3 linked regions of the Cricetulus griseus genome follow. The protein of the gene in region 3 purifies or fractionates together with the protein of the main gene of each other region. This does not show direct contact. Links are inferred from orthologs where the notes say so. Each region holds a gene or a part of one and is shown on either strand. Other genes may lie near its edges. The genes, in order: Flna, Asap1 and Cttn.

What was found.
Region 1: the proteins of Cttn (region 3) and Flna purify together in Homo sapiens (affinity purification with mass spectrometry; 3 studies listed by BioGRID and IntAct, with this or other methods). This does not show direct contact. The link is inferred for Cricetulus griseus from reciprocal best matches to the Homo sapiens genes CTTN and FLNA.
Region 2: the proteins of Cttn (region 3) and Asap1 purify together in Homo sapiens (affinity purification with western blotting; 6 studies listed by BioGRID and IntAct, with this or other methods). This does not show direct contact. The link is inferred for Cricetulus griseus from reciprocal best matches to the Homo sapiens genes CTTN and ASAP1.

What each region holds. Positions count from the first base shown.
Region 1 is NC_048604.1:1,487,888-1,490,587, forward strand, and holds the end of Flna (filamin-A), read left to right. Parts: coding exon 1-13; intron 14-173; coding exon 174-392; intron 393-478; coding exon 479-682; intron 683-1,688; coding exon 1,689-1,876; 3' UTR 1,877-2,191; downstream 2,192-2,700. UniProt on the Homo sapiens protein: Promotes orthogonal branching of actin filaments and links actin filaments to membrane glycoproteins. Anchors various transmembrane proteins to the actin cytoskeleton and serves as a scaffold for a wide range of cytoplasmic signaling proteins.
Region 2 is NC_048603.1:23,764,591-23,768,682, forward strand, and holds the start of Asap1 (arf-GAP with SH3 domain, ANK repeat and PH domain-containing protein 1), read left to right. Parts: upstream 1-1,257; 5' UTR 1,258-1,380; intron 1,381-4,092. UniProt on the Homo sapiens protein: Possesses phosphatidylinositol 4,5-bisphosphate-dependent GTPase-activating protein activity for ARF1 (ADP ribosylation factor 1) and ARF5 and a lesser activity towards ARF6.
Region 3 is NC_048596.1:56,922,445-56,926,093, reverse strand, and holds part of Cttn (src substrate cortactin), read right to left. Parts: intron 3,467-3,649; coding exon 3,377-3,466; intron 2,319-3,376; coding exon 2,141-2,318; intron 245-2,140; coding exon 173-244; intron 1-172.

The sequences.
Region 1 (2,700 bases), on a different chromosome or scaffold from region 3:
GGTGGTGTCACAGGTAGGTTCATGGGTATATTTCTGAGTGTGGATGCAGTTGTTAGGGCCCTGCATCCAAGCTCTTAGCAACAGGAAGCATGTGGAAGTATCAAGGCTGTGCTGGGTGGCTGAAGACAGGAGAGCCAGTGACATACACTCTGCCTGACCTTCCATGCTCCCAGGGAGCCCAGCTGAGTTTATCGTCAACACAAGCAATGCAGGAGCTGGTGCCCTTTCCGTTACCATTGATGGCCCCTCCAAGGTGAAGATGGATTGCCAGGAGTGCCCTGAGGGCTACCGTGTCACCTATACCCCTATGGCACCCGGAAGCTACCTCATCTCCATCAAGTATGGTGGGCCCTATCACATTGGGGGAAGCCCCTTCAAAGCCAAGGTCACAGGTGAGCCCCAGGCTAAGCTGTTGGTGCCCATTCAATGCCTTGATATTCTCTAGCTACTTCTCAGTTTCACCTATTCTGTCCTGCAGGTCCCCGTCTTGTTAGTAACCACAGTCTTCATGAGACAACATCTGTATTTGTGGACTCCCTGACAAAAGTTGCCACTGTTCCCCAGCTTGCAACCTCAGGCCCAAGTCCCACTGATGTCAGCAAGGTAGTAGCCAAAGGCCTGGGGCTGAGCAAGGCCTATGTAGGCCAGAAGAGCAGCTTCACAGTAGACTGCAGCAAAGCAGGTAAGTATCCCTGTTTCTAGCTCTGGAAGTACAAAGTCAGAAATCACAAGACAGTCAACATGTGGAAAGTACAGGAACTTAGGGGTATGATTGTTGCTTTGGGGGCTACTTTATATTTGGGCTTCCTGGAGAAGTAGCTTAGTGGTTAAGAGTACTGGTTGCTCTTCCAGAGGACCTGGGTTTTGTGGGTTTTTTTTTGTTATTTTGTTTTTTTTTTTGAGACAGGGTGGAGCCTATATGGCACTCACTCTGTAGACCAGGCTGGTCTCAAACTCAGAGATCCACCTGCCTCCTCTGCCTCCTGAGTGCTGGGACTAAAGGCATGTGCCACCACTGCCCAGTTTATATAATCAGTCTTTCTTTCTTTCTTTCTTTCTTTCTTTCTTTCTTTCTTTCTTTCCTTCCTTCCTTCCTTCCTTCCTTCCTTCCTTCCTTTCTTTCTTCCTTTCTTCCTTTCTTTTTTGAAGACTCAGGTTCAAGTCCAAGCACCCATCTATATGGCAGTTCACAACTATCTATAACTCCAGTTTCAGGGAATCCAACACCCTCACACAGACATACATGTAGGCAAAACACCAATGCATGTAAAATGCATTGCCAGTTGGTGGTGGCACACCCCTTTAATCCCAACACATGGGAGGCAGATCTCTGAGTTCAAGGCAAGCCTGGTCTACAGAGCTAGTTCCAAGACAGTCAAGGCACAGTGAAACCCTGTCTAAAAGACGTACGTGTGTGTGTGTGTGTGTGTGTGTGTGTGTGTGTGTGTGTGTGTGTGTGTGTCTGTCTGTCTGTCTGTCTGTCTGTCTGTCTGTGTCTGTGAAGAAAATGTCCTGGAAGACCTGGGATTTGTCTTCTGGTGGCCTAGGTGGGGTATGAGAAGCTTGTTGGGAAGGGGTATTGTTCTAAACAGGCAAGGAACAGGATGTAGAATAGGAAGAAGGGCTCAGAGCAATTACAGCTGAAGGAAGGGGTTAAGGCTAGTCACTGAGGCCTATTCCTACCTCAGGTAACAACATGCTGCTGGTGGGGGTGCATGGCCCAAGGACACCCTGTGAAGAGATCCTGGTGAAACACATGGGCAGCCGTCTCTACAGTGTCTCCTACCTGCTCAAGGACAAAGGGGAGTACACACTGGTGGTCAAGTGGGGTGATGAGCATATCCCAGGCAGCCCATACCGCATTATGGTGCCCTGAGCCTGACAACTATGCCAGCCAGAATCTCCCATAGCAAAGAGCAACCTCACACCTGTCCCACCCCCAAGAAGTCCATTTTCCTTTCCTGAGCCCTGGGCCCTCCCTTAGATCACTCTGGCCACTCTGTCACTGCAGTCTCCCCTGCCCTGCGCTGTGCTCACCTGCCTCTCTGGGCTTTCACTTGGGTAAAGGGAGCCATTTGGTGGCAGCGCCTGACTCCTTTGGTTCTGGGAGGGTGGGAGTTCTATGTACAACCACTTGCTAGTTCTCTTTCCCAGACAAGAGGAATAAAATTTTGCTTCCATTGTCCTGTGAGTGTCTGTATCTTTCATGGAAAGAGTGATGAAGTCCAAACTGGCAAGGGTACCAACAAGGCATAGGTATAGGCTGTGGGATCTCCAGGTAGCACAGTCTGTATTTGCTCTTTGTTTCACAGAGATGGGTATATGATGTACCTAGAATGGCATAGGATCAAGTAGGCAAAATGTGGGGCATTAAGATTAATTGCTAGCTAGTTGGTGATCGCTAGCAGTGATGATCAGGTAAACTGTCTTAGAAATAGCATCAAGGCCTAGCCGTCTCTTAGATACCATGAACATAATAATACCAGCTCTTAGTGTTTGGCTTTTGAGGTGGGTTTGAGGTGCTTTGGCTGTCCTGAACTCACTCTGGAAACCAGGCTGGCCTCCAACTCAGAGATCCATCTGCCTCTGCTTCTGCCTCCTGAGTGCTAGAATTAAAGGTGTGCCCTACCACTGCTTGGCTTATTTTGATATTTTGGAGACAGGGTCTCACTATGTAACCTTGGCTGGCTTGGAACTCAT
Region 2 (4,092 bases), on a different chromosome or scaffold from region 3:
GATTTGGGGTGCAAAGCGCATGTCTGTTCTTCCTTTGGAGACAAGCTGGTACCCAAGTTTCAGTTCCCAGCATGTTCCTTTCAGTTCCCACTTATCCACACGTGGGTCCTTCCTGTAAGTCCGGGTTTCAAAGGAATCTGAAACACTTTAAGCAAAACCACCAAACTGCAGCTTCCAGGTTAAAAAAAAAAAAATGTGGCATTTCCTTGGGAAACCACAATGAATCACTCCAATGGCCGCCCAGACTTCCAGGCTGCTTTTCCTAAACCTCCTGGAGCATCTCAAGGCTTATTAACACGCCCTCCCCTGAACCATCCCCAACCCCCGCCATCCTCAGGTTAAGAACAAAATCTCAAATTTTTGTGAGGCCTAGTGAGTTTCAGATTTCACCAGAAGGGGGTCCGCACAGCCGCTGACCTTTTCTTCAGACAGCAGTTTCTGGAAGACTCAAAGAAAAGCAAGCAAAGCAATCACCCAGTGATGGGGTGGACGGGACAGGGACAACGGACTGATGTCTGAAAGGTCAGACCTGTCCCCAGCGGTGTAAGTCTACATAGACACACACAACACACATCCCACAGGGCAGCGGCCTTTTTCCGCCGAGGTCTTGAGACTGCAAATAATAAGGCCAAGCATGGCTATCGTTGGTATTCCCAACTTGCCAGTGTAAGCATCTGGTTTTCAGATTAAGTCTACAAACACTCCTTTTTGGTTTTTCATTCGAGAAACTGAGGCCCAAGGAGTATCATTTGCAGGAGAAAGGAAAAGGCCATTCCCCAACCTGGGTTCAGACATGGAAATCCATACGCTCGCCAGATCATCCCTGTGCTATTCTGACCCAAAAGGTTCTGCCTCCAGGCACTGGGCAAAAAGAGAGGGATCGACTGGAAAGAACCCGTGAAAGTGGACGGGGAGACGTCAGGAGAGGTTGCAAGGCCATCCTGGCCGGGAGTGGGGGGGAGGCTACGGTCCTCTCCGGGTGTCCCCGCTTTAGCGGCAGACGGGCCTCACCCCTGCCCTCTGTGGCCAAGGACGAGGCCCACCCCACGCACCCCCTGCGGTGTCCTACTGGGGCGACCCGCAGGGTACCGGCGGGCCAAGGGTTAAGCGCGGCGGGAGCCCCCGGCGCGGGGCAGGCGCGGGCCGGGAGTGCTTAGTCAGGATTCCGATTTCCTGCCGAAGTGTTTGGATTTCCTGCAGCCCGCGCCCGCCGCCGCCGCCGCCGCCGCGCCGAGCGGGATCGAGCGAGCGGCTCGCGTCGCCGGCCTCCTCCCCCTCGGCACATGGTCGCCCGCCCCTTCCTGCGCCGCGCTCGGCTCCCGCTCGCCCGGCCCCGCCGCGCCCGCGATGGAATAATGCCCAGCGGCCCGCCCGGTCCCGGTGAGTGGCAAGGCGGCGGGGCGGCGGGGCGGGCGCGGCGGGGCCACCCGCACCCCTGCGGGCTCCGGGTGTCCCTGTCATCCCGGAGAGCAGCAGCCCGGGGTCTTGGGGGCGTGTGGGGCGCGCGGCCGGTTCTGCGGGGCTGTGGCCAGGCCGCCCCGGGGCTCCGCATCCGCAGCGCTGGGGTGCGCGTTCCCCTGCTCTGCGGAGGCGACCCGGGTTGCGGTGGGGGGGGGCGGGCAGGATGCGCCCCGGGCGCAATGCTCCCCCGTTCCCGGACGAGGCGCGGACAGCCGCCCGGGCGCTCTCCCCATCCGAGGGGGCGCTGTCCCCGTCCTTGGGGGCGCTTTCTCCGTCTTCCTGAGCACTCTCCCCTGAAGCTGGGGCTCACTCCTCCTCCTCCCGGGTGCTCTCCCGGTTCTCCGGGGCGCTCTCCTTCTCCTCCCGGGCACTTTCCCGGTTCTCCCGGGCGCTCTCCCCGCGCCGATTGAAGGCGCCGGCACCCGCCGCCGCATTGTCTCCGGCGCAGTGGAGGAAAGTTCCCCTCGGCGCGGGACCCGGCCTGGACATGGCGCTGCCAGGCAGGCCCCAGACCACTTAGTTAACCCAAAAGAAAACCAAGGGGGTGGGGGGTTGGTAATTCCTCCTGGGAGCTGAGAAGTGCCTTGTGTCTTCCGTTTGTACCATTTGGGGACCTGATGATTTTTTTAGGAGTGTCACAGTAAGTTTAAAAGAAAAAAAGAAACTCGCTGGTATCTGCTTTTCTGCTGTTTGATTCATCCCGAGAAGGCGGGTCTTTTTTCTATCACGGAGAGAGGCTTAGCCAAGTCTAGACCATCATCAACTTGACCATAGCCTTAGCTGTACGATTCCAAAACACCAGTTTGTTTTTCTCCATCTACTCCATCAGGTTGTCTTAGAGAACTGATTCTGGGATAGCGGTGGTGCAGGATTGCTGAGTAATGTTTTCAGATTGCAAAACACAGAATTTAATTTTTTTTAAAGCCAGTTTTCGTGTCTGTTCTAACCTGAGTGGTCAGGTTGGGAGCTCCCCGCCCCCGCCACCCGCCCCGGCCCCCGTTCCCGCACCCCCCCCCCGTGCAGGGCCATTGCGAAGGGGTGGGGGTGGGGGTGGGAGGTGGGAGTTGGGGGTGGGAATCCTGTAAGGGAAGAAAAGAGAGCGCAAAAAACCATAGAAGAACTGTTTCCACTTTTTGTTAACGTGGAATGGAAGCGGTTCAAACAGGTTACCTGTCTTGTCAAAGGGCACATGACCACTTGGTGGCCTAGCCAGAAACAGCTAGCTTCCAATTCGCTAAACTCTGGGGCCAGGCTGCTCTCTCTGCCTGTGTCGGGTTATGGCCTGTCAGCCAGGAACCAGATGTGGAATTGTGTCTTTCAATCCCTCGCCACTTTAGCGCCTTCTCTTGTTCGCTTATCTGCAATTGCCGCTGTTTTTGAGATATGAAGTTATCTGAAAGAACTTATTTTGTGATAAGGCGTTTTTAAATTACCCTATTTAAAAAATGCATAATTATTTTTAGTACCTTGCATGCTGGCTTAAAAGAAAAAACAAAAAATTAAAATATGACCCAACTTCTTCTATTCACTGACCCAAGTGCATTTGGGATTCAACTATCAAACGGATTTGAAATATACAATTGTAGTTATGAGATGGGGGATTGCTTTTCTCTACTTTCTCCTTATGGTTGAAGATGTACAAACTCCCAAGACTCCAAAGGGGCAGTGTCTTGACACAGAATGGTCTGTGAGATTCTCAGAAGGTCTTGGTTTTGAGTCCTCCTCTTTCTGTGAGCTGGGCAGCCCACCTACCTTCCTCCTCATGAAAGCTGGGTGGCTGCTGGCTTTTCATTTTTAGTACGTGATAATGTTGGAGAGAAAGGACTTGCTCACAAGCTTGCCATTTGGTGAAGGAAATTGAAATTCCTTACACCTCTCCCACTCACAGCAAGCCAGGTTTCCAAAAAACCAATGCAAGCCCGGCAGGCCCAGAGATGAATGTGTGCATTCAAGCTGAGCCCTCCTGGTCCAGACCCTCCTCCCAGCTGGCTGCTCATGTTGTATCCAGGTGGCTGTGGTCTAGAGGAAAAAGAGAGCTGGCCTCCTACCTGTGCTGTTCGTGTTTCTTCCCTGCAGTGGACTCTGCTTTTTGATGAGCTCTTTCTGACACCCCCCCTTCATTTTCACCTCCCCCATTCTTTCCTCTCTGTGGCGTCTCTCACACGGTTTCCAGGGGTCTTTTCTAGAAGTCTGCACTAATGATTCCTACACAGGCGATGCTGACAGTGATATCTAGTACTTGTTGAGCACTTGTGGTATGCTCTAGACTCTTTACCTCCTAAGAAGGACCAAGGAAGTGTTGGGGAGACGGCTTAGCTGGAAAGAGTGTTTGATGTACAAGTATAAAGACCTGAGTTCAAATGCCCGGAAGTCTTGTAAAAAGCCAGGTGCCCTGACTCAGCACCGCAATCGCTTGAGCTTGCTGACACGTACCGGCCTGGCTCTAAATACAGTGAGAGACCGTGTCTAACCCCCAGTGTTCACTCATGGGTATGAGTGAACACACACACACACACACACACACACACACACACACACACACACACACACACACACACACACACACACACACACACGAGTGTTCCCCCAAAGAGGGGACTCCTTGGGAGCCTTTCCCAGAAAGGACAGCCT
Region 3 (3,649 bases):
GACTGTTTAAGCCTGAGAGTTCAAGGTCAGACTGGGTAACACAAACCCTGCTCAAAAGCAAACATTAAACAGCCTTGCATTCCTGCCCTGAATTGGTCTAGGAAAGGGAGTGGCTGAGAACCTGACCCAGGGCAGGAACATTTGTGCCCTCAGCCCACAGTTAGTGCCTCACCAGCTTGGTAGTCATACAGAGCGATGGCTGTGATGCCCAGGTCACTTTCATATCCATCGTAGGTATCATCCTCTGTAAGCAAAGCAGAACTGCTGAGCAACATGCCAGCCACCCCAAACATACTTCCCAAGGATAGATGGGAGAGCTTTCGAAAAAAGACCTCATGACAACAGCTGGGTTCCTATGTGGCAGGTGCTGGGATGGAAGAGTAAGAAACCTCCTAGAAACAAAAGGACTTGTCCTGGCTAGTTTATGTCAGCTTAATACATGTTACAGTCATCTGAAAGAAAGGAACCCCAATTAAGAAAATGCCTACATAAAATCTGGCTGTAAGGTATTTTCTTGGTGACTAATGGGGGAGGGTCCAGCCCACTGTGGGTGGTGTGCCAACCCTGGGCTGGTAGTCCTGGGCTCTATAAGAAGACAGACTGAGCAAGCCATGAGGAACAAGCCAGGAAGCAGCACTCCTCCATGGCCTCTGCATTAGCTCCTGCCTCCAGGTTACAGCCCTGTTTGAGTTCCTGTCCTGGCTTCCTTTAGTGATAAACAGTGATGTGGAAGTGTAAGCCGAATAAACTGTTTCCTCCCCAACTTGATTTGCTCATGGTGTTTCATCATAGTAGTAGAAATCCTGACTTAAGACAGGACTCTTGGCTTTCAACAGCAAAGCTTAGACACTGAGCTCTGACACATACAGGGAAGTATAGCCACATGAACACGTAACAAGTACCAAGATGACCCTTTTCCAAACCTAGCATGATGGCGGCTGCAATCCCAACACGTGAGGCAGAGGCAGGAGGATCACCCCACGTTCAAGGCCAGTTCGAGCTATACTGTGAATTCTAAGTCAGCCAGGGCTACTGACTGAATGAGACTGTGGTGGTTTGAATAAGAATGGCCCCCACAGGGCTGGAGAGATGGCTCAGAGGTTAAGAGCACTGACTGTTCTTCCAGAGGTCCTGAGTTCAATTCCCAGCAACCACATGATGGCTCACAACCATGTTGAATGAGATCTGGTGCCCTCTGCTGGCATGCAGGCAGAAGACTGTATACATAATAAATAAATAAAATCTTAAAAAAAAAAAAAAAAAAAAGGTCCCCACAGAATCGTGTATTTGAATGCTTAGTTACCAGGGAGTGGCACTATTTGAAAGGATTAGAAGGACTAGGAGGAAGTGTGTCATTGGGGGTGGGCTTTGAGGTTTCAAAAGCCCAAGCAAAGCCCCAGTGTTGCACCCCGGACCCCCTGCCTGAAGATCAGGGTGTAGCTCTCAACTATTTCTCCAGCACCATGTCTGCCATGGTTCCTGCCATGACGACAATAAAGTAAACCTCTGGGAACTGCAAGCAAAGCCCCAATTAAATGTCTTCTTTTATGAGAACTTCTTTGGTCATAGTATCTCTTCACAGCAAAAGAATACTGACTAAGACACTGAAAAAAATAAAAAAGTCTGATGCCACTAAAGCAAGAGGCCAGAGTAATGGAACCTTGGCACCAAAGGTTGCCCTGGGACAGTGAGGCTGAGAGCAACTAAAGTCTTCTGCTCCCATCCCCACACTGCCCCTGTCTAGTGCCTCACTGGAACTTCGTTTCCAAAGTAAACAAATTAGCTTCTTCACTGTCAGCTGAAGCACTAGTTCACCTTCAAAGCATGGGGAGATGGAACCTTTGAAGTGGCTGGGTGATAGGCAGAGTCCTCCATGGGAGGACTCCTCAGGCCAGTAGATCCCTCCCCACTGCAGCCTTAATCATTCATGCAGCACAGCACAAACCTTCCCAGGACCACACGATAGGAGCACTGCCCTCGTAGGAACCACTGTGTCTAACCCTCCCCGATCCAGGGTGCCACAGAACTCACATTCCTAGACTATCAGCTAGCAAGCCAACCCTTTCTGAGGAGCACAATGGAGGAAAGGACTTCTCAGAAACCCTCATCCCCTGGACATAGCTAGAGTGGGGTCTAGTACCTGCTTGGTAGTGGCCAGGGGCTTCTGTGGTCTCGTAGACAGGTTCTGAGGTGTAAGCTAAGTTTTGCTGGCTGCTGGCCTCAAGGACACCTGCAGCCTCTGTGCTGTACACAGGCTCAGGCTCACTTCCACCAACAGGACTTCGGTAGCTTGGCTCCGCCTTGAACGGCGCTGCATCCTGAGGAGAGACAAACAGACATTTCTCATGCTGTCACCAGAGCCAGAAGAGGTCCACTCACAAGTGACCTCCATAGTCAGACAAATCAAGGCAAGAATAGAAATTTTATGCACAGGGAGTGGGGACAGGAAGCTTTCCTGTGGAGGTGACCACACAGGGCACACTGCCACAGTCCAAGGAGATCACTCAGTTCCAAGACTGGTCCCATTTGGCAAGATGATGGTAGCCAGAGGAGACTACAAGGCGAACAGCCAGTTCCTGGTGTGGTGGCTCCACACTGAGCCCTGCCCCAACTTCCCATCACAGCATCTCAGGTTCTTCCCTCAGCTTCTGGTCCCAGCTGAGCTGCCAGTCACAAGGCCTGTCCATGCCCAAGAACATCAAAGAGCCAGTGCCGCAGCACCTATGTGGGAATGCCTCATGGTCACTCTGTTTTCGGGTCACTAGCTACAAGGCCACATCCACCAAGAAGTCTTGCACGGGAAGGCTCCCTGCCATGCAGAGCAAGTAACAATGGTGTCAGGGAGAGAGAATCCTGGTGGTGAAGAGGCCATGGTACCCTAAGCCCCCAGTCACAGCTTGTGTCCTAGCTCTCCCAGGACCCATGAGCAATGTTATCTACATGACAGAAGGGCAGTATGTGAGGACTGTCTGGGACCCATGGGATGTGATTGTGGGCAAAGGGGCTTACTTCAGTGAGGGGTTCCTGAGGGCAGAGGGTGGGAGATGCTAGGCAGGGATGAGGCAAGGACTCCACAGAGTTTAGTGTGAGGAGGCCATAGGGACCAGAGAACAAGATGCTCCAGGGACGAAGAGAGAACACTGTCTCAGGGCCAAAGGACAGTAGGTTGCAGAGGGAGCACAGTTAGTGCGACACACTAAGCATGTGGCATCTACTGACCTCTCAGAAGTTACAGGGAGAGGAAGACCATGGTGCCATGGGCTGCCCAAAGGTGAAGACATCTAACCTGGGGGGACACCTTGCTCCAAAAAGACAGAAGGGGGGTGGTTAAGTCTGCAGGAGTCTAGGGCAGCCAACTGGTCAAGTGACTACCCACCTCGTAGATGGGGCTGGAGGGTGGTCTGTCTTCAGCTGGCTGAGAACTAGGAGATGCAGGGGGCGTCTGCTTCTTGGCTCTGGCTTGCTCCTGTGATAGAAGGACAGCAAACACATGGTTACCCAGTCAGCCAGGAAGTCACATCTGCCACTTTGTAAGGTACCCAGGTGGAAAGACTGGAGCCTGCTGGGAGAGTAGAAAGCACCGATCACAGGGTTAGGTGGCTTATGAAGTTAAAGTCACACAGTCAGACCTTCTCAAGGACTCTGGCCT